Mytilus edulis: one gene and its partners. The protein of the gene in region 2 purifies or fractionates together with the protein of the main gene of each other region. This does not show direct contact. Links are inferred from orthologs where the notes say so. Each region holds a gene or a part of one and is shown on either strand. Other genes may lie near its edges.

The links.
Region 1: the proteins of dual specificity tyrosine-phosphorylation-regulated kinase 1B-like (region 2) and cell division cycle protein 27 homolog purify together in Homo sapiens (affinity purification with mass spectrometry; 3 studies listed by BioGRID and IntAct, with this or other methods). This does not show direct contact. The link is inferred for Mytilus edulis from reciprocal best matches to the Homo sapiens genes DYRK1A and CDC27.
Region 3: the proteins of dual specificity tyrosine-phosphorylation-regulated kinase 1B-like (region 2) and anaphase-promoting complex subunit 4-like purify together in Homo sapiens (affinity purification with mass spectrometry; 3 studies listed by BioGRID and IntAct, with this or other methods). This does not show direct contact. The link is inferred for Mytilus edulis from reciprocal best matches to the Homo sapiens genes DYRK1A and ANAPC4.
Region 4: the proteins of dual specificity tyrosine-phosphorylation-regulated kinase 1B-like (region 2) and retinoblastoma-associated protein-like purify together in Homo sapiens (affinity purification with mass spectrometry; 4 studies listed by BioGRID and IntAct, with this or other methods). This does not show direct contact. The link is inferred for Mytilus edulis from reciprocal best matches to the Homo sapiens genes DYRK1A and RB1.

What each region holds. Positions count from the first base shown.
Region 1 is NC_092357.1:17,614,541-17,622,515, forward strand, and holds the start of cell division cycle protein 27 homolog, read right to left. Parts: upstream 3,014-7,975; 5' UTR 2,908-3,013; coding exon 2,884-2,907; intron 1-2,883. UniProt on the Homo sapiens protein: Component of the anaphase promoting complex/cyclosome (APC/C), a cell cycle-regulated E3 ubiquitin ligase that controls progression through mitosis and the G1 phase of the cell cycle.
Region 2 is NC_092348.1:79,381,987-79,389,829, reverse strand, and holds the start of dual specificity tyrosine-phosphorylation-regulated kinase 1B-like, read right to left. Parts: upstream 3,015-7,843; 5' UTR 2,437-3,014; coding exon 2,304-2,436; intron 1-2,303. UniProt on the Homo sapiens protein: Dual-specificity kinase which possesses both serine/threonine and tyrosine kinase activities. Exhibits a substrate preference for proline at position P+1 and arginine at position P-3.
Region 3 is NC_092347.1:40,681,741-40,689,365, forward strand, and holds the start of anaphase-promoting complex subunit 4-like, read right to left. Parts: upstream 3,006-7,625; 5' UTR 2,939-3,005; exon of another isoform or gene 2,866-2,938; intron 1-2,865. UniProt on the Homo sapiens protein: Component of the anaphase promoting complex/cyclosome (APC/C), a cell cycle-regulated E3 ubiquitin ligase that controls progression through mitosis and the G1 phase of the cell cycle.
Region 4 is NC_092346.1:87,036,154-87,044,059, forward strand, and holds the start of retinoblastoma-associated protein-like, read right to left. Parts: upstream 3,004-7,906; 5' UTR 2,899-3,003; coding exon 2,882-2,898; intron 601-2,881; coding exon 450-600; intron 45-449; coding exon 1-44. Other genes in the region: U2 snRNP-associated SURP motif-containing protein-like, read right to left, coding at 6,256-6,370. UniProt on the Homo sapiens protein: Tumor suppressor that is a key regulator of the G1/S transition of the cell cycle. The hypophosphorylated form binds transcription regulators of the E2F family, preventing transcription of E2F-responsive genes.

The DNA of each region.
Region 1 (7,975 bases), on a different chromosome or scaffold from region 2:
AGAAATTTCCAATTTTGAATTATGCACAAAGATGGACTTTTAACAGGTTGGGAACAACACTCCAAATGAGGGGTAACCCTCACTGGAAGAACATTACAACCCACTGTAAAAAATGAGCACCTTTATATTCATATTATTTGATGAAACTTTTCCCCAAGAACTATGCATCTATTAAGTATTAAATGGTCAAAACATGTCAAAAGAATTTTGTGATGTTTCTTAACTTATACATGTTATATATCTTCTTTATTAATTTGACCCCTCATTTAGAAAAGTTGTTCCAAATATAATGAATTTTCCCACTTTTGAGTTAAAAATCTTAAAAATTTTACTTTAAGGTAGTACAGTAGACTCCGGCCAACCGGATACCCAAAATGTCAGCTAAAAATATCAGATTACCCGATATATTCAATTAGACGATGAATGTATATTCATTGAATATTCTGCAATAATAATTAAGCAGATATATTGCTTAATATGTGAAAGGGCTGGAGGACTGATGGAGTGTTTTTTATCAGTTACATCACCACGATGGTTGCTTAAAAAATTATCAGCTGATTATGTAATGATTGAATTTGTTTGCACTTGCAGTTTTTAAATCCTATATTTATTAAAATAAGTCAAATGTCCTGAAATATTTATGTGAATTATTATCTCCCATCCATAGTTTGTCTTTACTTGTTTAGTAAACAAATTAAATATCCATTATTTACATTTTCACACAGGTAAACTAATTTGGCTATAAATAGATCAAAGCATGTCTGTGGAGAATCTCTAATCTAAAATGGTAATTGTTATAATTTTATTTCTTTAAATAATCAAATTTAAATTTATGAAAATAATCATGATTGATAAAATAGTATTGCATAAAGTTTAAGTTTTCGGAAGACTATTTATGGTTAGGTCATGGTTCTAGAGGCTTCTTAACAAATTTGTAAACAAACTAATATGGCCGCCACACGTGATTACCTTTGCACATGTGAAAAAAATATTTCTGACAAAAGTCAGATTTCTCTTATCAAAAGGGATTTATATTTATATTGCAATAAATTATTCAGAAGGAGGTACATTCAGTTTAGATTATATTTCATATTCTATAAGCATTTAGAGTTTAATAAAAATTCTCCCAACAGCAACGTACTGACTGCTCTTGTCAACTGAGTCTTGAATAATTTTATAAATAGATTCAAACCATTTGAAGTAAAAGGGTATCTAATTCACATGACAAAGGAAAACAATGAATAAAGACAACAATTTAATAAGAAATAGATCCCTTTTATTTATTAAAAACAAAATCTTCTTGTCTACAAGATTGCAAATTCGTAACTTCAAGGGCGAACATGTAAACAGGGCGAGTTGTCCCGATACTAAATTCATGCATGCGTACTACAAATATCTACAGTAAAAACATCCGGTTACAAATAAACAAATAACGTTCATGTAGAAGAGATGAAATCTAATAATTAACATAAATAAAAGGATACACATTTACGATAGTGATTGTTTTTCAATCCTAATTTACAAATTAAATGATTCAAATGCATAATCATGCATTAAAATCGATGTCTGGAATCAGAAGTTGTTATGAAATTGTAATACACAGAAACGAATGCGGCATACAGAGGATTAATGATTTTAAAGTCGGCACCATAAGCCTTCAGAAGACACTAAAAATGGCTTCAGCGTTATGACATCGTAGAAAGATGTCTCAGAAGAAAATCAAAATAGCCTTGTGTAATTATTTGAAATAGCATTGCAAGACTCATAAATATCATGAATATTTGGACTAGACTATAGTCGCCATCACGATCACGTAAAATTGGCACCATGTTTTTTTGTTAAAATTTTTTTAAATATCAGCCGTGTTTATTCAAGATGATGTTTTTATTTAGTGAAAGTTAAATCCAGTCCAAATATCCACTACGGTCTTACTTTTTATTGTGTTTGCACTGTATAATCCTGACCTTCAAATTTTTAAGATTATTTACATTGTAAAACTGCCATCTTGGTTTCTATGAGGATCCCTTGTTCCATAACATTCGTTATTCTCCAGTAAGATCATTGTCATTGATGATACAATTTCCCGTGCTTTTTACATAAAGATGACAAAAAGCTCCAAGAGACACAAGAAAATGGAGAGCACGTGGAACTCCACGGCAACACTTCCGGCAATAACAATGTCGGATTCCACCATACAAAATAATCCTGGATTATGTGAAGGTCAGGATTATACAGTGCAAACACAATAAAAGGTAGGACTGCAGTGGTTATTTGGACAGGATTTTTCTTCCGCTAATTGAAAAACATGTTCTTTAGTAAACACGGTCTATATTCAAGAAAATTTTAACAAAAAACATGGTGCCAAATTTACGCGACAGCGACTTTTTTTTATAGAGGGACAAATCAAAATTGTTGATGTTCTGATGTTGTTATCATGATCATGGTTACCCCAGACTGATAATATTTGAAGACTAATCATGTGTGTAATTGCTGATTCATTTGCATGTAGAGAGAGTGATTTGATAGGATGTTGCAATTGGGAATTTTGAAGAAAAAAGCTGAATTTCTGAGCAGACTGGTCCTTGCCAACTATCAAGACAATGGTCTCAAGTTCAGTTGAGACTGTCAGGCTCATCATATATTTCTGATGCCAATAAATTTCTTCATGTGAACACTGCTGGTGCCAATTCAATTTTGAATGAATTTAATTCAAATCGTTAAAAAGGAGGAAATCTACGAATAACAATAAGACACCTGTTTATATGGATTCATGTCACTTTTAGTTGTTCTGTTTTTTAGCTCTAATACACTTTATTTACAGGAAATGTGACTTATTTTGGGTAGGTATATTTAGTCATCTAATAGCATTGTCAGTTTTCATACCTGTACGGGTTCTTGAAGTAACATATTACTTCTATTTTACGTTTTATTTGCCCTGTCTTTCACACTTTCGTTGATTGTATTCATTCTTTTTAACCGCCTCGATTTCAATAATATTTGGGTCACAGGGGCGATAATTCAAGACTGGTTACTTTTCTGGGACCCGGCTCGTTTCCCTTCGACACACATTTTCCTTTACAAACTTTTAAAAAAAATATTTGTATAATTTCTTCATTAACATGACATATTCTTATAAAGTAAAATATGAAGATATATGGGTTCTGTGTTGCATCTTTCGTTTTTTTTTTTTTTTTGTAGTTCGTGATTTTCTTTTTATTATTTTTTGAAAAAAGGGGGGTGTACCGAACACTTAATTGATAATGGTTTTGCCACTTTGTTTGGTCCCTGTTGTATTCAATTATAAGTATATATTTGATTTTGTGGGGGGTTTTTTAACGGAAAAAATCACTTCACCATTTAAAATACATATTTGTTCAAAGATCAAAATTGGTAAAACTTGACCAGACGCGGTTTTCATGTGGTCCACAAAAGCTGAGTAATCAGTGAAATCGGCAGGGACTTTCTTTACAAACTCTGGAAACAGTATATTAATGTATAGTATATATGTTCCTGACTAACTTTAGTATAGAAAGTCCCTGTTGAAATTTAACATATAGAAATACTTCACAATCATCGTTTCCCACACATTAGAGATAGTCATACCGCATTCGTTTAGAACAGTCTTTATTCTGTCTAACCATGAACAATTCACATTGTAGACCCTGCTCCACATGTGGCACCCGTCGTGTTGCTAATGTGATAACAAATCCGGTAAATAGTCTAATTCGGTAGGTCACATTCATGAAAGGGAAGGGGACTGTAGTTACGACGTAAGGAACATATCCGATATCATTTCGCTGAAACGGTTATTCCAAAAACGGTCAACCAACTCGTGATGGCGTCCGTAAAATTTACCAAGGGATGATTTCAACTTCACCATTTGGAACTCTTGGTTTAATAGCTTCCTTGTGAGCAGCAACCCTCTATCAAGAAAATCATGATAGGAGATACAAGCAAATTGGGATATATACCCCGTATGCAGGTGCTGTTGGAATGTTGCTACTTAGAAATGGAAAGTTCACAATTGGAAAACTGAAATCATCTTTTTTTGTCATGCCAAGAAATTGCCTCTGTTGAAATTCTGAAAATATCCCATAGAGCAAATTACATGAATGATTATTATTGACCATTTGGTATATGGCCGTGTTCTAAGCGACACGTACATGAAGGTCATAAATTAATTTCTTGAATGAAATCAAATCTTTAGCTACTAATGACTGCCGTAGGAGGTCGACCGGAATTTTTAGCGAGGATTTCTTGGCATGCGTAAAGTTTTGTTTTCAACCGACCCTCATTGTCAATTTATAGATGTAAGTCAAGATATGAGGCCGACTTAACTGTATCTGTATCAATTTTTAGAATTAATTTCATCCAAAGCTTTGATGGCTTTACTAATGGGTTTATTGTAACACTTTTTAAACTGACCGTGCGGAACGTTTTGGAAGAAAAAAAACAATGCCTAAATATGAAATATAAGATAACAACTTCCATATTTTTTAATTGGTATTTTAAGAACAAATTTGGGATTGATCCTGGTTTTGTGGCTAGCCAAACCTCGCGCTTAATGGCAATTTTAAATATACCGCTAAAATGACAATATTAATTTACATGACAGAAAACAGTACAAATAAATGCAAGAACACATAAGACTGAGAAATACACAGATAACTAATTACAATATTATACATTTCGACATGAAGTATAATCAATTAAACTTGTAATCAGAAATCATATGTCAGCTAAAATACTCAAACATTGTCAAACTTAAATATTATCGTAGAGGTTTTTAAAAGATTTTGTCAAGATGAACAAGACTAGTGCACGTGATAGCTTAAGGCGAGCATTGCAATTATTATCGGTACAGGGTTATGAACTATGTATTTTTCATATTTAGGCATTGTTTTTTGTCAGTTTTACAAGTGTTACAATTAACCCATTATTTCTAAAAAAAAATGGCCGCTTACATAACCTGACAGTTAACCATGTTAAATGTCAGTACGTTTCATGATGTTACCAAACTTGAATATTTTTTGTCATTATTACTTATTTTTGATATTTCAAATCCCGTATTTTACACGTACTTTCACTGTTTAAAACATGACGTGTAAAATCTTATCAGTGGTACCCTTATCAGTTTCATTGATTCAGATGTGAAGAAAGATTGTGATTCGTTTTTTATATTTACGATTTTCGTGCAGTACTTGGTAAACTACAGTCAATGACAGTGTGAGTAAATTTCCAAGTTATTTTATTTCATAACTTTAAGCAAATATTTCATATCAAGTTTAGCAATCAATTTCCTATGTTTCGTTTGTTTGAACTGCCGATTTTAAAATATAGATAATAGTTTGTATTTTTTTTTGATTTATGTACACTGTTTAATTAGGCTACACTTAAAAATGTTATGATTTGTCCAAACCTACCCAAAGGTTGAACAAGTGGGTAGGTAGGTAGTCTTTTTTTTTTTTTTTTACAACAAAGAGAAATTAAAGCGTCAAATGAATTTTAGTCTCCATGCCTATCTGATTAAAAAAAAACTTTTTCACATATTCAGGACAATACAAGCCTGAGATTCAGAGTAACTACAATTTTAATCCAAAATGGTTAAAGTTAAACATTTAACAATTTCTGCGGGCTTGGAAATCAAATGTTCCACTTCAAAAACAACTGTTCTAGAAGATTCCTTATCTTATAAACATAATGGATATCATAACCAAGGATAATGGGAAATACACCATCCCACAATGGGTAATATTCTATTAGGCCCCCACAAAATATGTGTGTTTCCGATTACATCTTTGAAAAAGGGTAGGTGGGTAGACATATAGTCTATGAGAAGGACATTCTGACCTTACCAATGCTTAATGAAGCAAATGGAGAAAGTTAGACAAATTAGACCAAGGATTGCTTGTAATCAGATAAACTTTTTTTGAGGTTCACATCACTTATCATTTATATTTCATATATAATCATATACATTTATTCCACTAAATTGATTATAGGTTTCGTGTAGTTTTTGTTATCTTTTTAATCGTGTTTAAATAATTTTTACAGATATATATTTATACATCTATTTTTTTTCAGTTTTTTATACCATTTTCTATCGCCTTCCATCTACTATGCACCTCGGGTGTAGGAAATGTGTTTATAAATAAATTTAAAGTGCAAGTTCAGGAAGGTGCAGAATATAATTAAGCCTTGACGGATCGATCATCGGGGCAGTGAATTTGTTAGCACTTATTTATTTTTTTATTTATTGTTTTGGAGGATGCACGTATTCAAAAGTTTTAGGACATTTTTTTGACACAAAACCACTTAAAAATGTGTCGCAGATAAACTGTATTGGAATTGCTTTGGCTACTGTAAGAACTATAATTTCAGCCATTAGAGATAGCCACTCACTCTTCCCCGCAATATCTGATATTTGGCTGGCAAAGATTGCGTCGGCGAAGCAGGATGACCTAGATTCTCCAAAACCAAAGTTTACGAAGTTGACATTGAACGGTGCCACTAAGGATGTAATTATCTATACAGGGTCAAGGAGCCGCTGGTAAACAGTTGACGTCCGTCGGATCGAATACGCACGAATCTTACTTTGGTGCTTGTAGTATTTCGGGGTAACGTATCTCTTGTATTATGTAATAAACACTCAGTGGCCCCAACCCTTTTAAAAATGGCCGAGTCCGCCTCTGATCTTTTTCAATGATTTGATTATCTTAAAGAAATGCAAATAATTTATATACGTGTCACTATACACTATAGGCGAGTGATATGAGAGCCAAATTCACATTTTTAATGCACCTACCTAACACACGGCTAAATTATATATCACTGGAAAGCTAAGAATGTGTACTTTCTAAATATCCCGGTCGATCGTCAAAAGAAATTATGGTGCATTTTTTTTAAATCGAGGTCAAAGGTCATGGGTGCAATTTCAATTCACGGATACTTCCAGTAGAAAAATCGAGTCAAAACAAATACAAAAATGAAACAATTTTATAGGAATGCTGTATTACTGTTGGGAAATATATTTCTATCATAGTATTAATTAATGTTGGTTGATTTTAACGGTAACGCATGTTACGTAACGTTTTCTCTCGGAGTCTTTGAAAATCAACCATTAAGTCACACAAATGTATCTGTAGTCGCCCTTGCATTATCTAAATCTTATTATACCTCCATATCATTTGATTGCACGTATTTACAATCATATATCTGCAAATTTGATATAAATAATTCGAAGCAAAATATTTGAAGCAAGGGGAAAATATAACATATGACATATTTTTAATTGTTTAGAAAGTTCCATGATGAGCTGTACATTAAAATTCAGGAAGCGTATGGTCTCCTGTTAGTTTGAAAGCCTACCAACCGCTTCAAGATCAGACAACCATAGGGCGGATTTTTTTTTATTATTGTAGTGCAATATGTTGAGTCTGGATCATACCGCAATTTCATTTACATCACTAAATCAGATATGACAAGAGTACTAACTAACATTACTAAAATGAGTAAAGTGCTACTAGTATATTTATATCAACAAATTGACAATTAATTTTTAATATAAAACATCACAAGGAAAATGTGACCACTCATTGTTACGTTAAACTGTGTTTGATTTTACTTTAGTCGGCCGCCGTGTATCTTGAGATATCTTATTAATCAAACAACACTTGACAAAGAAGTTTGTACTTATTTTAAATTACGCTAGTGATGACCTTCGGGCTACTTTGGCACTACGTATTACTTTTTTATATCTTGTTTCACCGCTTCAAACGGAGGACAAGGTTATCCTAATATTGAACCTTTTATTTGGCTTTCTTATGTTAAAATCCCGTTAGCGTATAACCTAAATGATCGAAACGTCGGACCAATGGGATGTATGACCATTTAGGTGTCGAAATATTGCGATATCAGAATATTATAGCTTCATTTTAACTTGTTATCTCATCATTCTTATCGGAATAATATCCAT
Region 2 (7,843 bases):
TCAATATCTGGTTTTACTTAATATAAACTACAATCATGAACACAACTACCAACAGATGTCTTAGGGGGTAATGACATTTGTACACTTAAACCACCATTAAAAACAATACATATACATGCAAAATAAGTCAAACACTTATCCAATAAAAGTAGACTGATCTAAGAGACCGGCAAGATTAAATCCAAAAAAAGATTCAATTTATTTCATAAAGTGCAGTCAGAGCATTTGATTCAGTTGATCAAACTTATGTTTGAGACTGATCTATTATTCTAAGGAAAAATATAAAGACATATATAGATATAAGATGTGGCATGAGTGCCAATGAGACAACTCTCCTTTCAAGTCACATTTTGCAAAAAGTAAACTTATATATATATATTGGGTCTGAAATGATATCGAAATAAAAGTGTGTAAAATAAAAGTTATGGGCAATATGAGGTAATAAACAGCTGGTAATAAATGCGTAAAACTTTGCTTCATGTTTTCTTGATAAGAATCAATTGGAGCTAGTTCTGTGCTTTTTACTTTTACTATCAATGTAATACAATGTACCTCTAGACTAATGGTTCCCAAATGAAAGGTATTATACTCCAGTAGTCAAGGTTTTTGAACTTGGCAATTAATATAATCATTATATAATGTAGAGTATTTTGAAGATTTATAAAAACTTAGGAAAATGTATATGATGTTCGAAGAGAATTTCTGGTGCTAAAAATACAAAATTTGATGGTCCTGATCATGTCATTTATTCAATCAGAAAAAAAATAGGTAAGAGTTTTTGAAAACATTCACATTTTATTATGTTTTGATCTATTTAGTCCAAAAGAGGAACTTTTAAAACCATTTCCAGATCATGTAGTGGACATAAAGTTTTGCATGTGATTGTTTATTCAAAATCAATAATTTGTCCAGCAATGTTTGTACAGTGCAAGATAATGAAGGGATTATACTATAGGCTCTTTATGATCTTGCAATTAAAAAGTCAATCTAACTGCATTATTTATTTGTCAACCAGTCTGCAGCTTTATTAGGTATAAAGACAGAAAAGGTCTTAATAACAATACCTGACCTTAAATTCTTGAGTTTACATAATATATCAAAATTACATTCTTGTTTATCTCTAATAAAGACAGGATATTTCCTGGTTCTACATTCCTTACATGCCATACATATTCAGATGTCTTCCATCATATTGTTTACAGCTGGCTACACATGAATGAGCACTGAGTTTCCCACAATACAAATTATAAACTTAATTTAACTACTTTGTACATAATTTAAGTGAAATCACAAAGAAAATACAATGTTTTCACATGGGAAATTTCATGGCTCCTTTGATAAAGATTGACCAAGCATTCATTACTTCATCTATGGCCAATTGTAGGTAGTTATTTCAGTTCAATGGTCAAATTTAAATCTTCAGCAGTTTAAAAAGGTCATTCAGATTTGTATTTTGAATTCAGTGTCTCCTTACTTTACATTACTGATGTTCAAAAGAAGCCAGATTATTCAAGTATTGTAGACTGACATTCTTTAAACATGTGTATTGTCTTACTCTTGACTAATGAACTGAAACATTCAAATTGAAATATGAACAGTAAAAGTTAAATTTTAAGGTTTAAAATTGATTGTCTAGACAAGAAAACAAAAATAATGCCTGGATAACATTATATCTATTGCAAAAAAGTATTGATGTACTATCTGACATCAGAGCATCCCAACTAAAGTATGTGTGGTATGTTACCAGTCATATATACACAGCTGGTACATGAATCAGCTGACTGAGGAGGTCCCCCACAGGGCAACTTATATTCTATGTTACAATTAAAATCCCTGGGGTCAATCAGATGAAATAAATATTTGTCAGGGGAGTTTTCTGTCATATACAAGAATTTGACAACTTGTGTCTGCTGTCAATCTTGAATGGATTGAAGGGTGTTGTTGTTTATGTATTTGTTTTTGTCATTATGTATGATGATTAATAGATAAGTAAGTTCTCCTTACTTATCCCCTAAGATGAGGTAACTATTTATCTTAATCTAGATACCTGATTTCCTAAATACAAAAGATCAGAACTGATAATATAATGAGAAATTTACACTTTTTGATCTCCCATTAAAAATTTGTATGGTCCCATTCAGAAAAGATATTGGTCACTTTACAGAGGCTATTTAATTCAAAATCTTGGTCAAGGACACCTACATAGGTATGACTGTACATCTAACATGCATACCCTACAAGTGATGTATAAACCATTAACACAAAAAGAATAGTAATGAAATAGAGAAGTTTTGTATACTAACGTTTGAGACGCATGGCTTGTAAATGGTACTCCTGTTCCTGTCTTAGCCAGTGCCCACGGTTTGACAACATACGATCATCCATGGCACTATCCATGACCAATAATTTGTTTTCACCACTTTCCTCATGAACCATTAGAATTAAATTTTATATCCTTACTTGTCCTGTCAAAGTATGTCAATGTTTTCCTGATGCAGACAAACAATTTTTTTCACTAATTATATGCAACTTTTAAAACATGCCAGTCCTGATATATCCATATGAACACAAAATGCATCAGATATGTTTTATATAATATCTTGATTTGTTGAGAACACCAAAGAAGTAGTATTGCACAGTGTAAATATCAATAAACTCTATAAAATATCAACAATAATAACAAATAAACAAACTATTGCAAGGATCCCAGGCCTTCACTTAAAATCCATCATAAAGGAAGTAAGACCATATTATGGTGCTGTGAACTCAAATGACCTCCATGGTAGACAGTCAAATTATTCACATCCTTAATGAGCCCTTTTTGCACAAGAAAATAATCCATAACAAATAATGGTCCAATACAGGGCAATGAAGGTGTTAAATTAAGGACACTTCAGGTCACTTTATGTCCCTGTAAAATTTACAGCAAAGCACCTGACAACACAGTGACAGAGGAGCCATAATTGGATCAAAGATGATATGTGCCTGAGGTTACTGACTGTTATCAGCCAATCAGATTCCTTCTTACATCCATTATCTGGATGTAAAATGTTGTCTGGTCAATATGTAATGAGAAGTCTAGAGGAGATATAGAGGCTCCCTAAGGGTGTGTGACATTATGTAATAACCATTTTTCCAGTTAATTTACTTAGGAAAGCTGTTAAGATGCTCTGATATATAAATAAAATGTAAACATTTTGTTTAGAAATAGTTTGAATAACACTTATCAGGTATTTATAACAAATTTGAATATTTTGTTAGATAACGAATAAATAATTATTTACAATATTTTGATAATCAACAGCTCATGCGATTTGAATTTTATGAACTAAAAGGAGGTATGTATAAGTACCAGTACCTAAAAAAAAGTTTCTATAAATATATTTAATATAAGCAAACAGCAAATGAAACACAAAACTCTGAATTAATCTAATGGGGATCTCTAGAAGTGTTTTTCTTTTCTTTATTATGGTTGGGCTAAAAAAAGGAGGGTACATGTAGGTACAGATTTTTTTTTATTTTACCATTTTTGTTTCATTGAGTGTATGGGATGGACATTCTGACTTTAATAGTGCTCATTGAAAAATGACCCAAAAAACTTTAAGGTAGGCTATTTTTTATTTTTGATAATAGGGAAGGTAGGGTAAAAGGAAACACAACTTTTTTTATTTGGCCTTGGTGGTCTGCTTTCTCCTTTTTAGAAAGGATTCCTTTGGATTTTGTTTAAGAAAAAAAAGTAAATATATTTTATTTAACTCCAATTCAGTACTTCATATATTTCTAGCTCCAAATTTTTTAGAGCTTTCTATTATGTATAATTGTATATCAAAAATTCTAATTGAAAAAAATTAATTGTGGATTTTTCAGAAGCAATTCGAAAAATATTCCATCAAAACCAGTTATAAAACAATTCTAAATTGTTCTTACCCCCTATGCAATGCAATAATAGGAAAAATTTGAAGATACAATGTACATTCTTTAAAACTTTTTGGGGTAACAAAAAATTACATGTGTAATTCCAGTTTAGTCCTACAAAAAGGGGACATTGGGTGTGCATTTTTTTTATTGTCAAAAATCAGTTCAATTATTTCACATGCGCCTGTTGGAGGTAACAATTTATAGCTAAATAGAAATTTCAGTTGCCAAAAATCTGCAAATTAATTATTGAAATTCACATTCAACAAAATGGGATCATTTAACAATTATTTTTTCCGAAATGGATTCTTTTGCTTTTCTATTGGCAAATTAAGTTTCTCCCCCTGGCTTTTCAAATCTGCAATTAAATAAATGGGAATTGTGTCCATGGGACACAGAAGATCCCCCCACTTATCTTATAAAGTTACAAAGGGAAATAACTGAAGAAAAATAAAAGTGATGCTACCCAAATGTGTACTTGATCTGAGTTTCAGAGGCGGATCCAGGGGGGGGGGGGGGGGGGTTCCGGGGGTGCGCACCCCCCCTTTATTTTTGCCGATCAATGCATTTGTATCGGGACATATGTTTTGCACCCCCCCTTTGCCCTGGGTTAGCACACCCCCTTTCGAAAATTCCTGCATCCGCCCCCGAGTTTTGAGGTAATAGTATTAGTGTTTCCTACAGGTGGTTTTGGCGTGTAATGGCGCCCTGTTGTGAATAAGTTTCATAACATTTGGTAGAGGTGAACTCAAGATAGAAAAGGTAAACAAAAAATCAGCAATGTTTCAATCAATATTATAAACAAGCATAACTCTAGAACAGTAAAAGTGACATCATCAAATTCAAACTTGATGTGCATTTTAAAGTTAAAAGCATTGTGTATATGTTTCGTAGCATTTGGTTGAGGCAAACTAAAGTAAGAGAACGCAGAATTCTCCATTTGTACAGGAGCATAACTCTAGAATGGTTGAAAGTGACACCACCAAAATGCAAACTTGATCTGTGTTTTGTGGTAATAAGCATAGTGTATAAGTTTCATAACATTTGGTAGAGGCAAACTAAAGTTGGAGAACAAAAACGAAAAAAATTCAGCAATTTTTCCATTTGCAAAGGGATATATACCTTTAGAATGGTTAAAATGATGACACCAAAATTCAAATTTGATCTGTGTTTTGTGGTTGAATCTGTAATAAGCACTGCATATAAAATTATATAACATATGGTTGAGCAGGGTTTGAAATTAGCATAGATGCCAACCCCCTTTTGACACAATCAGTAACAAACTATCAAATTTTCCGTATTTTTGAAAAGTTTTCAGTAATCATTTATATTAAACGTGCATTTACCAATCAAAATTACTGACGAGTGGTTGCAAAGTGATGTACACTAAAATTTGTCATTTAACATGTTGTCTGTAGTATGTATTCCATTCATTAATTGTTCAGATGCTCTCGACTCAAACATTTTTGTTTTGTCAAGGAGAAGTAGAGAAAGGGAAAAAGCTACTTAATAAAATGCAAGTTTGACTCTTCGGAAGTCAATTAGTTACCCAACAATAGGTTGATAACTCCCGAGAAACCGGAAGCATTAGATTGGCGTTTCCTAAATACTGGACCCGGACGGAAAAGTAATGATAAAAATCCGCGTTTTACAAAATTGAACGTCGGTGATTGGGAATCCGTAACTATTCGACTTTGACCGTAATAGCGTAGTTTATATCGCAAAATCGGAAAAACTACGGAAAAATCGTAATAGTTGGCATCTATGAATTAACAGGGGCCCACTTGCCAATGGCCCCTACAATTTAGTGTGCCAGGGCTCCTAAAGTTTCTGCTTTTCTTGTATTTAACTGTATATATTGGCTACCATTGCCAAACTTTAACGGAAACCACTGTGGTTGAGGCAAACTAAAGTGAAAGATCGCAAACCAACTTTGGGACAAGGAGAAAACATAATGCTCCTCCGCTACTGCAGGGGCATGAAATAAGTGTTTTGTAAAATAGACTTCTTATAATGAACAGAAGTAAACAATGAATTTCAGATTAACAGAAAACTGGATGTTTTAACATATTTTATTTGTGTCCTGGCATTTTTCAATATCACAAGAATCAAAACTCCTGAATGGTAAAAGTGACATGTACAATCATCAATATTTGACTTCAACTTGACCTTCATTTTTCACAAGTTACAACATATATTAAAATTTTAAAAGCTTTGATTGAATGGTTCATGAGTTAAAGCATGATCATGACTGCAAACACCATTTTTCAATCTGTCAAGAAACAACTCCTGAACGGTGAAAGTAAAAATCGTCAATATCAAACTTGACATCCATTTTGTCATCAGAATCATTACAACATACAAGATGTGAGAAGCTTTGGTAGAACAGTTCATGAGAAAATGCATGGACACCGTTTGGCAGTCACCTGCCTCGATGTTGCAAGAATAAATTAGAACTTTTAGTTGGCAGCTTATAAAAAATTTAGTGTTCTTGTTAGAACTGCTATACATTTGTCATGTTGGGCCTTTCACAGCTTGCAATGTGGTATGAATTTCTCTGAATATTTACAAATTGAAAGTACCACCTACAAACATCAGTCAACACTAGATATTTACAAAACCTCAGGGTTGCTAATAATTGACTAATTCCTTGTTGTGTCTGTTTGGGTTAATCAACCAATTTTGTTAATATATGGGAACTTAGTATGAAGATCTCTCATACAAGTGGGAGGTAAAGCTAGCTATAAAGCAATGGTTAACCTACCATTTTCTTCTGGAATACATCTGTGCCAAAGTTATTAATATGATATTTGTTTTCCACTCGATACATGTATGATAGATAATATCGTTTGATTGTCAGTTTGTATGGACCTTCCTTATATAATTTAAAAGTTTTTAGGTTTACCTGGAGGTTAAAGTTTTTGCTTATTTTTTACATTGTAAGGTCATTCATGACCTGACGAAAAAATTCTAGCTATTACATCATTTGATCTCTAATGAAGAGTTGTCTCACTGGCAATCATACATCTTTTTATTTTTCTATATCCACTGCATGATCTAAAAGAAAAGTCTGACAACTCTGAAATGACCCATTGGATATCTAAATAAAAGAAATATCTCTTTCTTTATTTCAATTACAACAACTTAAGCCAAGATTTAAAAAAATTGTTGGTTTAAGGATTTATCACGAGATGTTTGATCTGAAAGGGGTAAAAAAAAATAAAGCGACTATCAAGAAATAGACTTGTAATGTGTCCAGACACAGATGATGCCCTGACTTGCATATCAAATAAAGTAATAAAGGGACATAACTGAGGAACAGTAAAGTGACACAACCAAATTTCAAACTTGATCTGTATTTTGTTTAAATAAGCATTCTGTATAAGTTTATTACCATATGGTTGAGGCAAACAAAGATTTGTAAAGGGCATAACTCTAAAACGGTAAAAGTGACGCATCCATAATTCAAACTGGATCTGAGTTTTGTGGTTATAAGCATTGTGTATAATAAGTTTCATAATATTTGGTTGAGGCAAACTAAAGTTAGATAATGAAAATTTATGAGAAAAAAAATCAGCCATTTTTCCCTTTGTTAAGCAGCTTTTGAACTACATAGTTGATTTGGAAGCCAAGGTAACCAGGACCAACAGCAATTTTCATTTTGACAGCCTCAAACAGTAGACTAATTTGCCTGAAATTGGGTCCGACACAAAGATGTCATTTGCTTAATTTTGTGAGGGAATGGAAACAAAAATTTTGGCATAAAATTAGCAATTTCGATTTGTAAATGGGATAGTCAGGAAACTATGCCAGTCTGTGTTAAACTGTTTAATGTTTTGTCTGACCGAAAGAGAAATTTTGACTTTTCTACTATATATTCAACCAAAATATTTTTAAATTTCTGTCTGTCTGAATGATTTTTTGTCCG
Region 3 (7,625 bases), on a different chromosome or scaffold from region 2:
CATAGTTTTTTCAACATATGAAAAGTTGTTGTTTATGTTCACTGTTAAAACAGCTGACTTTCCTTATTATTTGTAGTTCATTAACATGTCAAGACTTTTTTGTGAATCTAATTTGTTTTAGTAAAAAGACTGGTTTAACCCAATAAATATAATGTCATTAACAAGTTAGGACAATGATTTTTTGTTGTTTTTGTTTTTCTGTGTTTTTACCTTTTTTCTGGAAGGGTTTCAATTTGTTGCTGATTTGGTCAAAAGAAATATCAAATAGTTTTTTTTCATCCTTTTAATATTCATATATCAATACACAAGTTTTCACAATATGAAAGTCAGGACAACACAAATGTGATACTGTCATGACTGGATACTTTTTTTTCGTGGACACCAATTTTTGTTGATAAAAGAAAAAATTTGTTTTTCATTGATATTTGATTTCATGGCTTTGCCAAATTTTGCACTCAAGAAAACTTGGACTCAGTTAACCCGAATAATTCAGTCGTTATATTCCGCTGATCTACGAAGGCTACATTAACGCCTGAACGTCTTCCTTGATCATGACCGTCAACCGGAATTTTCACACCGCTTTGCAATATGGGAATTTTGATTTAAATTGGCAGCTAAAGAAGGAGGAGTTCCGGATGTTAATTGATGTTAAATGATGTAAACTGATGTTAATTGATGTAAATTAATTATTATCGGATTTGTGTTAATTGAACACACATGTTTGGTAAGACAATTACAAGAGAGTTGCGCAGACTCATTATCCTGATCGCCGCTGATTGGCTAGATCTCTCACAGATAGCAGGCGACGCGGCCAATGATCATAAGGAGTTCAAGCCCTCGTGTGGGAGAAAATCGGACACCGAAAGGGCTTGAATTATTCGAGTTAGGACTCAGTTGAACATTTAGAATAATGGATTACATTTACCAAAAATATCCAAGAAAACTGCCTAAGTTACTTATTCAATGTACTGATATTTTGATTTGGAATAATATTGAACAAGTCTTTTCACATATTATGAGACTTCAAGAAGGCCATAAATAATCACAGGATTTATGCCAATATCTAGGCATATCAATTGAATATATAATGATATAAGAAAGAATTAAAATTGGCCAATCTACTACACACATGTATATATATTTTAAATCAAACTGATATTTTTTGCTAAATTGACTAGAATCCAGCATTTTGTTTTCGAATGCTTATTCAATTGTCTCCATAATAGTTTCATAAAATAGGAGTCACAGCTGATATTAAATAATAAATATTGATCTGTTTTTCCTGCTTCAAGTTGAATATTGAAAAAATTGCATAATTCATTCTCCAGTTTTGATAATGACTTTTACAGAAAAAAAGTTAAGTAATTTTTAGTCTTTGAATAGATATATATGCACTGTTGGTTGGGTCCTGTTTTTTTAAATTCAAGTAAAACTAATATTATTTTTTATGTCTGTCTTAGTCTAATATATATATTTTCTATAAAATTGAGAATGGAAATGGGGAATGTGTCATTAAGAGACAACATCCTGACCAAAGAGCAGATAACAGCAGATGGATATCAATGGGTCTTCAACCTACATGTAGCAAGAAAATCTTGCACATAGAGGCCGGCTCAATAAAAATGTGTTTTATTTCAGTGAAAATGGATGTCATACTAAACTTGAAACATATAAATGAACTGAAATAACAAATCATACAAGACTAACAAATGCCAGATAGTCTATGCTCTTGACGTGTTGCTTTGTATATATATACAGGGTAAATAACAAGAATAAGCTAAGTCAACCCAACAAATAATAAATCTATTGGAATGATCTGTTGAAGCGCAAAAAAAAACCAGATTCATTATCATGATTATATGGGGATGAAGTCCCCAATTTCGGTAAAAAATTAATAAAAAACAAAAAACAAAAAATCAGGAAAATTTCACGAATTTTTCATTCTACAAAGAACAAAATCTTTAACTTTTTTTTTCAGATCTACTTCCTGTTCCAGTCTTGTTTGCATGAGACTTTGAATAAAATGTATATTTATCAACATATCAACAAATATAGGACGGAATTAAACACCCAATCATTTTTAATAATTGTTTGATATAAAAAAAAACGTTACCTGATAACAGTGTTTCTTTGTTATAATTTGTAGATAAATATTGTAAGAAGCTACTGGCATGTAGTGCTGCTGGATTTAATAATCATGAGGAGGAAAGCTTCACGAGCAAGAGTCACACACTCAATTGATTGATTTTTGGTGTTTTAACACCACTTTAAAGCACTGCATTCAGGCTATTTCGTGGCTATAAGTTTTTATTGGTGGAGGAAGCCGGAGTGCCCAGAGAAAACCACCGACCTTCGATAGGAAAACTGACAATCCTAGTCAATTAAGATATAAAGATTGGAGTCGAGTGCATCCACAAGAGAAGGATTTGAACTCACAACCTCAATGTTGACTGGCTAGTGATTACAGTAGTACAGTTGTAACTACTTAGACCACTCGGCCACCAAGGCCCCTCATACACTCAAAAAGAGTCTGACTGTGTATTCAACGAAGAAGAAAGGGAAACAAGTGTAAGATCTCTATGATTTTGCACCAATAACTAACTTCTGGTAAATTATTAACTCGAATAATTCAAGCCCTTCCCGTGTCCGATTTTCTCCCATACGAGGTTAATGTAGCCTACGTAGATCAGCTGATATATAACGACTGAATTATTCGGGTTAGTAAATTATATATATGGTATATATCTGAGACTACTATAACACATTATGAAAATATGTGCTGAGATGTGACATCTTTCCATATTTTGGGTTTTTAGAAAAGATTTCTCAATGAATTTATATGCTGGAATATTATTTCAAACGTACATTTATGCTTCAAATTCTTTTTTATGTTTTAAAACAATGTATTTTGAGGTAAATTACACTTTCGTGCACTGACTCAGTAATTGTCAACAATACATGGGGGCTGACATCTTGGTATCGAGTTGATTAGCCAATCAACGTCCAAGATGCATTTTAATCATCCAATCGATCACACCGTTACTTTTTGACACGAAGCGGCCATTTCAACTTTTGAAAAATACAGATTTTATTAATTTCTAACAATACTGGCAAGTAAATATAAAAGTATACATTCTTACAATATTTTATAGATAGGAACTAGATTAATTTTCATATTTAGATGAATTTTCGTCTTTTTGATCAAATATAATGAGATTTCTATCGGTTCTTGATGTTTATAGTTTTCCGCTATTTCAGTATTTGGTCTACAGTACATGATATCCATTGGAAGACCATAGATGTAATAACATCTATGTGAAGACCCCTATCAATGTATATATACGATATATACGTTGATAGTGGGTCTTCCAATGGATAGAAACAAGTGCCTGTGATTTGGTCGGGGTTGTCTCTTTGACACAAATTTCCCCATTCTCAATTTTAATAGTCCGTGTAAAACTGTTATTTGCATTCTACCTCAGACTATTATACATTTGTACTAGTTAGCATAACAGTCCCAGGTTCAACAGCTTTGACTTTTTCCTAGCATACCAAATGAACTGATTTATATATAACAGCTAGTCCAAATAATTATGACGTCTTGTAAGACTATTTTATTTTTTTTCTGGGACGCCTTCTTCTCAGAAAAAAAAAATAGCCTTGCCAGACGTCATAATTATTTGGACTAGATAGAAGCTGACATTTTTTAATTTGTACAAGTATTTTCCTTGTGGATGATCTCTGTTGCAAGTCATATGCCAAGTGTGGCAACCCATTTCAGACATTTGTCATTTTCTTTTTTTTGTTACACTTAAATGCATGCACCCTACTGTATTAAGCTATAAGCCTTATTATATCAAATTCATATATATGATTTATTATGCGTGTCAGTTCCAACAAGGATTTGTAAAGTACACACAACAAAATTATGTACATGTAATACAAATCCTTGGTTCCAAAGATTGCTTTATTATACCTGATGTCCTTATTCAATGTCAGATGTATTGTACATGTAATTTGACCTGACATCTTGAATTAAAAAAAAAAAAAAAAATGATTTTTGATATTTGACCTAGCTGCGAACCATTGCACCATTAGGCATCCAGTTACAAAAAAAATATCCAAAGAATCAACATGTACATGATCAAGTCTAATGTCATGTTACCCTGGATACATTATTTATATTTGCTGTGAGGCCTTCCCAAAATAATGTTTATGAAAAGTCTTACAATAAACTGAAGCCTTTTTAGTCTTTGTTTTACATTAGTATTTTTTTTTGGTCCCTTTATAGCTTGCAGTTGGGTGTAAGCCATTGCTCCATTTTTGCTGAGCTACATGTAGTACACTTTGTTTGTTAAACATATAAAACATCTTAAGGTGCCAACTCTGTGTGCTTTATATTTTGAAAGAAAAACCCCTGAAAAATAGTGATACATGGACCCAGTATTCTGATTTAAAAAAACTTCTTTATTTCAATTTTGTTCTGTCCTAATTGGTTGTTGCTGTCTAAAGCTTGAATCTGACACCTGTGTATTGGTTTAATTAATGATCTGTAACTGTGGTAATTAAATGCATATCAGTGCTACTGTAATAGATCACCATACCAATCACATGATAAGATTTAATCATAAAAGTCAGGTGTAATTTTTGGACTCCAATATGCACATGATCATTGATGTATATGAAGGGAAATTAATTTGAAAAATTGCTTTCAAAGGAGAGAGTCTTGAGATGTATTTAAAGGATATTTTAGAAGATGAAGCCCAAGTTATTTCATTGTGTCCTTTATCATTGTTTATATATGAAGATTTTAGAAGAAGAAAAATATTTGATGAAGCAGAACATTTTATAGTCATTTTATGACTTTTGATGATAAATAGAAATTACAGTTTTTATTTACACATATTAATAAGAATCATAGCTGTACCAAATTCTGTATCATATAAGAATAGACATAGAAATGTTTTAATACGTTAAATAATGTTGTTATAAATATTTTCTATAATACACAAATTTTCTATAATTAAAGGTTTATGTTTTAAGTTGCAGAATTTTTCACTTTCTAATTCTAGCTACATTGTATATATATGAAGTATATTATAGGCAAATAATTCTTATAATTTTTTTACATTTTTCTTTTCCTTGATAATCATATAATTTCATAGGGCCAAATAAAAATATATGTGTGGTTCCAGTTACCCTACCGTCCATCCTTTTTGGCTTAAAAATAGCCTACCCTAAAGATTTTATTGTCATTTTTCATTAAGCACTGTTAAAGTCAGAATGTTGCTCCCATAGAGTAAATGTAAAAAAAAAACATAAAATAAAAAAAAAAATCCCTACCTACCTACCTTAACCTTTTTTTTTAGATGTAACTGGAACCACACATACTTTTTTATTTGGCCTAGGCCCTAATATTAATGTTTGATTTTATTTGGAACATGGAATTTATTAAAAATTTCAATAACAAGAAATCAAGCAAATTGCATAATTAAAAATAATTCCAAGTTCAAATAATAGCCTGTTAATTGAATATTTGTTTTTGTTATTTCAATGTTTGTTTAGCTAATACTAAAAATGGGATGTTCTCATATCTTTTTGATTACATGCAAATATAGAAGTGCATTATCTATGAAGCCATACACTAACTGTTCCTTATCATGGTATAATGTGAATAATCTTATGGCTGACGAATTGATAAATTAGAGATCATTTTAATTGGTATCTTTAGTATACATGTATACATTTATTAATCCTTTTATTTTTAACCAACATGCCATTTGAGCAAGTCTAATTTTAAACAGATTACAAGGTTCCCAATGTGTTATCTGTATTGTATATAAACATCCAAGTATTATTTATTTATTTATGAAGTACTGATTTGCTACAAAAAACTTGGGGATAAAGTTTGCATTATTTGTAGTACTGTTCCATGTAGTCAAAACAAATTTTACTGAAAGATAACTACAGCACTGCTTACATGTATATGTTGTTATAAAAACAAGATGCCTGAAAGATAGAATAAGTGCTTGGGTGGGATGGGCTACCCCCTTTTTTGTGTGTTTGAAATTTTTAGCAAATTTTCTTTGATATTTCTTTGCTCAATTTATATTCATGCTTTTAACCATACTTATGTATAATAAATATTTTTTATATGTGCTTCACTCCACTAAATAGAAAAAAGGGGGGTTCATAACCCCAAAAGTCTGTGGTTCATAGATAATGACCATGACCCTTCTGAATACTTATATACATGGATGATTTGTAGTGAAAATTTTAAAAATGTTTAATTTAACCAGTTCAGTGAAGTATACTGTTCAACAGTGCCCTTTTATCAAAATTGCAATGAAGTATTTATGCTCCCCTAGAAGACAGAAGCATTACAAAAGGCCATGGTGACTTTTTAATCATTATTTTATCATACATTGTATTTGGTTCTGCTTCAATTGATCTAGCTCTCACCTTGAGTAGAGATATTCTGATTATACAAAACCTCATTTGATCATGACCACAGACTTCAAAATTGGTATGTGTGACTTCTTTGCCCAGTCTGCACCAAAAACTTTTTCAACAACTAGTCCGAAGACCAATATTCTGACATATTTCTTATTGATCCAAGTTTTGCAAAAACTCATGATCACTAGTCCAAATTAAATTTTACTAGTGTGGGGCATCGGACTAGTGGCTAACCGTGCAGACTGTTTGCCAGCCACACAGCATCATCTACATGGCTAAGGAGAAAGACTTAAGACTGCTTGATAGCTTGGAGTCTGAATAATGTGGCAGAGTTGGAATGATATATATGTAAAAATGTCTGTTTTCTTACAAACTACTGTAAATCAAATCCTTTTCTCTTTTTTTTTTAAATCAACAGTAAATCAATGTTAACCTGTAACTGTAACATCATACAAGAAGCAAAGTTCTGCAGCTTTAGTTTTGAGTAAGAAATAAATATACTCTGTATGAACTATGTTCAACATGATATAATATTCCAGATTTTGTGATTTAAAAAAAAAATCATTTACAGAACGTGAGACGAAGGTTTTATTTAATTTTTAATTTTTTTAATAAATGGTCTAGACCACAGTTATTTCGTAGATATATTTAGTGTGTTAATACTGTTGTACTACTTTTGAGACAAATTATATCAAAATTATAGAAAACTTCATCAGCTCTAACTCAAAATGTGGACAATTTTATGTTAAGGGGGTCTTGAAATCTTTTGGCAGCTTCAGAAATGCTAATTTTTAACCATTTTAAGATGGACCAAATCACTACTTATCTTTCAAATTATGACCCAAATGTTTATACAGTGTAATTTTATCCCCCTTACTACTTGCTATTTGAGGCATAAAACGTGAAGAAATAAATTTGGAAGGGGTATAAAAAAATTGGCAAGTAACATACTGTCCACACTAGGGTCTAGATCCGTGGAGGACGAAAATCAAAGGATGATAACTGTATACTCGGACCTAATCTATAAAACTACAACAAGTATAAAAAATTTCAGAATTCAAACAATGTAATCAAAATTAATTCAGAATTCAAAAAATTTAATCAAAATTAATTCAGAAATCAACTAAAATTTGTACCATGCAATTGTCACTAACAGTACTTCCAAATCC
Region 4 (7,906 bases), on a different chromosome or scaffold from region 2:
GCCTGGTAAATGCAGCATGCCAATAGGTCAGACTTTGATATTTCCTACAACAGAAGAAATTAAAGTAACATGAAGACTATACATATATCAAACTTGTACTATTCATTAAGATGTTTCAATGTCCATTTAGTGTACACTAAGAAAGAAAAAATATCATTTAGAGGTGCTGCATCTAAAGTGCTTTTCTTAATTAATCTCAACCGGGAACGCTAAAGTCATAAATATCAAAGCTAAGGATGTATATATAGTTACTTGAGAAATTGTGCTTTTTTCTCTTCATACAGTTGTGCATACTATTTCATGGCCATCATGTATACAATTGCATTTTACTTTGAATACATAACCACAAAATTTGAACTTCCTGACCTCTCACCAATCCATTACAAAATAAATCAAGTGCCTGTGCCTTCCATCCCAAACCCCACCCATCATCACACTGTTATCACTACCTTTAGATCAGCAGTTACTTTCTCCACAATCTGCCAGTAGTCCCAAGCTTTATTCCGAACATCTTTACTCAACTTCAGTTTGTTGCTCAAATTCTCAAAATTGGTGTCAACTGTAACTATGGTTTCTACTGTTTCTGGAATTTCCTGTTCTCTGAAAAATAGTATACTTGTAAAAAGCAATTTTAATCAATTCTTCTTCTACTTGGTTAAGAGTCAGTCTTCGTATCGACAATTGAGAGTCATTGACTCGGGTCATCTCAAACTTAATTATCTTAACTATATAGCTTTTAAATATATACATACAAAGTTTTTTTTTTCGAACATAATCAAAACAAATGCACTTATGTTTCAGAAAATTAAAACTGTTTCTGAATTTTGATGTGTCTATTTTTTGTTCCAATATACAATGTATCTATAATACTAAAATAACGAGGTCCAATTTGTCAGCCATCGTGGGATAAAAACAACAAATCAAAGAATTCAACTTTATATATAGCTAATATAGGACAATGGTGTAGATTAAAAATTACACCACTCCAGACCCTTTTGTTTTCCACATAATTAACAAGTTCTGGGTCGAATCCAATACCGATACCAATAGTATATTCACCTGTTACCTATTACCTTATCTGTACATTTCACATCTGACAGGCACACTACCAAACAGTGTATTTAGGATTTTGCTATATACACGGGTCATAATCACAGGGTTGACACTACTAAATTCAATCATTGTCAAATTGTTCCCTATTGTAGTATTTTAATCAGTAAGATTTTCTAAGATAACAATACAAATACTGAAAATCTAGACTTAAAATAAGGCATATAGGTACAGTTTTCAATTTGAAGAATTTGAATTTAAAAGAATTCAACTTTATTTATAACTATATATAGCTAATATAGGATAATGCTGTTGATTAAAAACTACTCCATTCCAGGACCTTTTGTTTTCCAAATAATTAATATTACCAATAATTGATAAGCTCCAGGTCGACGGGTTCAAACAGAAAGATTTTGAAAGCAGAGAAAACTGCATATCTTATAATCATTTTGATAATCGACATGACTTTTATCAGATGACAATACGAATACTAAAATATGGCTTACGCATAGTTATATACTTTAATTCAGTCACGGGTGTGTTCTAGTATATTATAATGTTCTTCTCATATATTTTATGATGGTATAATACTGAACCCCTAACGAGAAGGGTTGTGCTTGATATTCATATGATGAAGACATAATCTTTCAATCAGTTTAATTGAGGTCTGGAGCTGGCATGTCAGTAACTGCTAATAGTCCTTAGTTAATTTATGTATTATAGACATTTTGTTTAGTTTCTTTTGATACCTATTCTGACATCAGACTCTGACCTCTCTTAAACTGAGTTTTACTATGCGTATTGTTGTGCGTTTGTTTTTTCTTCATTGGCTAGAGGTACAATGTATAGGGGGAGGGTTGAGATCTAAAAAAACATGTTTAACCGTGCCACATTTTTTTGCGCCTATCCCAAGTCAGGAGCCTCTAGCCATGCCTTTGTTAGTCTTGTATGATTTTTAATTTTAGTTTCTTGTGTATGATTCGGAATTTAGTATGACGTCCGTTATCACTGAATTAGTAACATATATGTTAGGAGCCAGCTGAAGGACTCCTCCGGGTGTGGGAGTTTTCCTTTGATAGGGAAGTTGACAATCCTAGTCAATAAAGATTGGATTTGAGTGCTCCTGCACGAGCGGGGTTCGAACTCACAACCTCAGTGATGACTGGCTTGTGATTACAGAAGTAACAACTTAGACCACTCTGCCACAGAGGCCACCCCCTCCCCCCCAAATCAGAATGAGAAACAATGAGAAATAGCAGTGGTAAACTGGACCCCTGATGTATTTACTTTACACTATCGATCTTCATCTCATGGGTTTTCGCACTATTATTATTAAGAAGGCATTGTGACGTCACAATTTCCATTGAAAAAGCATGCTTTAGTATGAATTCATATGACATACAAAAACATTTATATTAACATGATTAATAATATAATCTGACAATACACTAAAGTTAGTGCAAGCAATTGGGATTCTTGCCTTCTTCCACCATAATAAGTCTTCTTGGTGCACTGCTAGTGCTAATCCCTTGTTGTTGGAGATTGTCCTGTCGGTATTAAATAAGTTATCCCGAAAGGATTCCTCTATAGACATGTAGACTTTACACTAGCAGATCTGGAGGAGTGATACGGCTAACACCATTTACAATGTATAATTACTCTAAATAAAGGTGACTTAAAAGAATAAAGGGGAAAGCAATCTAGTAGAACAAAACTAAAAGCGATGTAGCTGTCCCCTCCCACTTCTCCAAAAATAATTTTATTTGACCATATCCATAACAGGTGCATATGCAATTCTTCAGCCCTAAAAAATTCTGGAACTAATACTTACTTCGAAGACCGCGACATGTTACGTGTAGTTATTATTCCAATTTACTTTATAATGTTTTTGTTGATCAGTTTGTTGATACACATGTTATTGTTTTGATGAAAGAAATCCCGCGATTTTTTTGTGTCAATTTTTTTGATTGGTTGATATTTTAAAGGTCAAAGTTGAAAAAATGTTACTGGCGCCAATTTATAAATAGTTCAATCATTCTTAGCGTGATTTACGTATTTGATATTTTCTGCCTATAACAATTAAAATAATTATAATGATCAAGATAGCAAGTCAAATCACTATTTATAGAGATATTTTAAAATTCACCTCATTTGAACTTTGGTGGATAGTTTTCACCAGACACATGTGCCTCTGTTTTCACACTTCTTCAGACACATTTGTTTTATCAATATATCTTTAATAGTATAATAGTCCCAGATTATATGTCTCTTGTATTTTTAATGAGGTGGCTGACTAAAAAAAATTGTATTGCCTTTTTCTTTAGTTGTAATCTCTGTCCTGCGTTTTTATATCATTCTTTTCCATCCTGCTTTTTTATTATTAGTTTGTCTTTATAGGAATTGTAAATATGCAATTTCTTGGTTTATCTAGTCCAAACAATTATGATGCATTGAAAGGCTATATTTTTTTCTTTGACGCCTTACAAGGTGTCAAAGCTAAAATCGATGAAAAAAACTTTCCTCAACGTCATAATTAATTGGACTAGAGTTTATCCTAATGAGGCTAATCTTTTTTTTACATAAATTGTCATCCTGCCATCTTCTTTTTGGAAAGTACAAAAAATGTATCTTATCCTGCTTTTTTTTTTAACTCAAAACTACCGTCCTGACTTTAAAAAAAAAATCATCACTAGCTCCTAAATTCTCACCTAAACAGAGTATAAAATAGTTATGGACTTTGCCAAATAGCTTTTGACCAAGTCCCACATCGCTTTATGTTAACTAAAACTGGATCTCTACCTTTTTACAAAACCACACACAAACAGTAGTCCTTGACAAGAGTCATCAGATGTTGCTTCAGTTACTTTTGGTGTCCCACAGGTTCTGGGTCCTGTTCTATTTCTGGTATATATATAAATGACCTACCAGAATATTTGAAATGACTGTCAGCATCATATACAAAAGTATCAAATCTAACAAAAGATTGTAATAGCCTTCAGAAAGATATTGATGCTGTTGCAAAGTGGGATGACTTTTCATCCTGACTGTAATATCTGCTATTATTCCGGGAACGTCACACACAAACCTTCGGGACATTTACTTGTTACGTAACGTCGCTACGGCAATACCGATTGTATATTTTGTAGCCATTATTAAATTACTATCTGAACCATCAAGTCTTACTCCGATCTTTCACTGACAAATGTACATTTCTCACAGCTTCTAACGAGAAAACTCCCATCAAACATAACTACATTCTTCACAGTCATACCTTAGAATCTGACTCAACAAAAATCTTGGCATTACTCTTCAATATGATTTAAAATGGATGCTGTTCAGAAAAAAATACTATTGATCTGTGTTTTGTAATAAACATTGAGTACACAAAAATTATAGCAATTTGAATTCCTAACCAGAAGACCATCTTTCCAATGTATAGTTATCTAGAAAGTCCAATTAATCTAATTCACTGGAATCAAACACAATACCACCATCTCATTCAGCATGCAAAAGGGTGTACATGTGACGTCATATGTACAAAAATACTTTCTCTTTGATTTTTTTTTTCATTTGTCATTTCTAGGCTTTTTAAAGCTGACTATGCGATATGGGTTGCTCTCATTGTAAAGAAGGTTAAACGGTAACCTATAGTTGTTATTTGGTCTCTGTTGGAGAGTTGTCTCATTCTGAATCATACCACATTTTTTATTAAAGTTCACAGTAAATAAACTACAGAGAGAACAAGAACAATAGCTATTGAATTAATTTAATGGGACAATAAAACTAACAAAAGTTAAAATGTATTGACCAATAGGAGATGACTCTGTTGAAAAGTTTCATTTGGTTCACAATAACTACTGTTCTATTTAAAGTAAGATCAGCCATATTGGTGTGTAACATGATAGTTCTGACACATGAAAACTTGAGGATGGTTATGTTAAAGATTAGTTTTTATTAGCAGGGTATTGTCAGACGAGAATATTACAGAAATTGTTATTGCAAGCTGACAAACATGATGACCAGTGGATGCCATGTAACAAGAAATGCCATAGGACTATGTTAGTTTAAGAGCTGACAAACATGATGGCCAGTGGATGCCATGTAAAAAGATATGCCATAGGACTATGTTAGTTTAAGAGCTGACAAACATGATGGCCAGTGGATGCCATGTAACAAGATATGCCATAGGACTATGTTAGTTTAAGAGCTGACAAACATGATGGCCAGTGGATGCCATGTAAAAAGATATGCCATAGGACTATGTTAGTTTAAGAGCTGACAAACATGATGGCCAGTGGATGCCATGTAACAAGATATGCCATAGGACTATGTTAGTTTAAGATAAACAATCTAACCCATAAACATATCACAAAAATAAATGCCATTTTAATTAAAGAAATACAAACATTTAGACAATGGTAGTTTTATTCAAAACAACCTTTGATTATATGAAAAATTTAGTTGACAAAGTGCACTTCTAATTCCTTTGAAATATAAATGCATTTTAAAAATTCAAAGATGCAGCTCTGGATACACGATAAATATTTCCAGAAGTGCATACATATACATGTAAATTCTTTCTATGATAATGCTAAAGCACATAAAGCCTATTTTCCATTTCTAAGCAATATTCTGAACATTATATTTTATCATGAGAAGCAGTCTTATTACAAATCAAATAGAATATTTTTGAAGTAACTTATATTCAATTCAGTATCTTGTAAAACAGGCTACTAATCTATGAGAAGCTGCAAAATCATTTAATATTTAAATTGATGTCAATTTTTATGATAATTGTTGTGTGGTATAAATGAGTATATACAAATGTTGACCAGAAATGTTATAAGATGTACATATTTACAAATTATGATAAATAACAGGTTTTCAGTTTGGTTTTATATATCTAATGACAGATATTTAAATTTGACACTGTTCTGTAATGACAACTAATTGCACACAAATCACTAATTCAACAAATGTTCATCCTCATAAAAACCAAGGTCAAGGTTTAGACTTTCTTCATTAAAATGACATGATTGTCACATTTCTTCTTCAGATTATTTCACTATCAATGTTTTCCTTGAGAACTGATTGATTGTAACACCCAGGTTTTCTTAACATGCCCAATTAGTCATTTATAACTGATACCTTATTTTGTGGACAGTATGTTCATACAACAAAGCATATAAATAAATTAATTATATATCAGTCTCTATATTTATTTTTCTTGTGTTTATGTCGATGTCTGCTAGGACTTCTGGATGTTGACCTTTTCCTTGGAGTTCGTGACCTTGATCTTGACTTTCTTGATCTTTTGGGACTACAATGAAATGGAGAAGTAATGTATTTAGATGGTTCAGATCACAATATAACATCATCACAATCTATTGACAAGCATTCTTGAAGTATTCATGTATAATCATTTTTGTTTATGTTAAATGTAAGTGAATTGTTTGGGTTATTTGGTAATGTACATTCTGTCAATTACACCATATACATCCAAATATTACTTATATTTTTGCTTTTAACTGCACTGTTAAAGATAGTGTGAACATCTTTAATTCAATATGATAAATAGTTTATATTTATTTCTATGAACCAATATAATTTAGTCTGATAACTGGTTGATTTTTTTTATAATCCTACCATTAATTTTTAATTTTGACTTGAGCATCCAATATATAGAATATATTCAAATGTTAACTAATCATTGTGAAGTTATGTAATTTGGTTGTTGATGGTTATGCTGTTTCTCAAATATGATGCATAAAAGAAAGTTGAAAACCATTTTTTTCACTCAACAGAGATTTATCATTGTTTCCTATAAGATACAACATAAAGGAAGGGACTACACAATATTACATTAATGAAATACAATCAAAGCGCTGTAAGCGCTGAAGGCAGTTAACCAAAAACCAAGGCAACCGTAATTATGAAAACTGTGGCAATGTTGCCTCAACATTAAACATTCATATATAGTACATTCATGTTTATCTAATGATTTATTTATTAAGGCTAATAATTTATATGTTATCAAGGTTTCAAAAGCAATGCATATATCAATGTATATTTTTTAATGGTGAGTCTGCAGTGGTACAAGTTCCCAATGATTGCAGTTGTTCTATTTGGTAGTTAACCTTGGTTTTATTTGACTGCTAGAAGTTCAAGTTGACTTAGTATGAACATGTAATAGTATGAATGGACTGGTTTCCCTGAAAAGAAAACTGAGTTTGTGTTCTATAGTACAAAAGTTATGAGACACGAATCAGACAAATGTTCACTACAACAGGGATCAAAGGTGAGGTCTGACTGACCTGCCCATAGTAAATGTAAATGATTTGTTATTTTGTCCCATACATATGAATATATATAATTTAGGGGTGGGGATCTCAACGGTTTTCAAGTTCTCAAACAGGTAGGGGTAGGAAGAGGATTTAGGGGGGCAGGGGGCCCGCCCCCCCTTTTTGGGAAAAAAATTGGTTGCTTATATAGGGAATCACTGAAGCGTGCCCCCACTTATGAAAATTTCTGGATCCGCCACTGGGGGTAGGGTGACCCTAGGGACTTCCCCTACATTTCATTTTATTTGTTATATTGTCCCATACATGAATATATATGGTTTAGGGGTCGGGATCTCATTGGTTTCCAAGTTCTCAAACAGGAGGGGTAGGGTGACCCCAGGGACTCCATCTATATTTCATTTAATTAGTTATATTGGCCCATACATGAATATATATTGTTTTGGTGTGGGGATCTCAACCGTTTCCAAGTTCTCAAACAGGAGGGTTGGGGTGACCACAGGAACTTCCCCTATATTTTATTTGATTTGTTATATTGTCCCATACATGAATATATA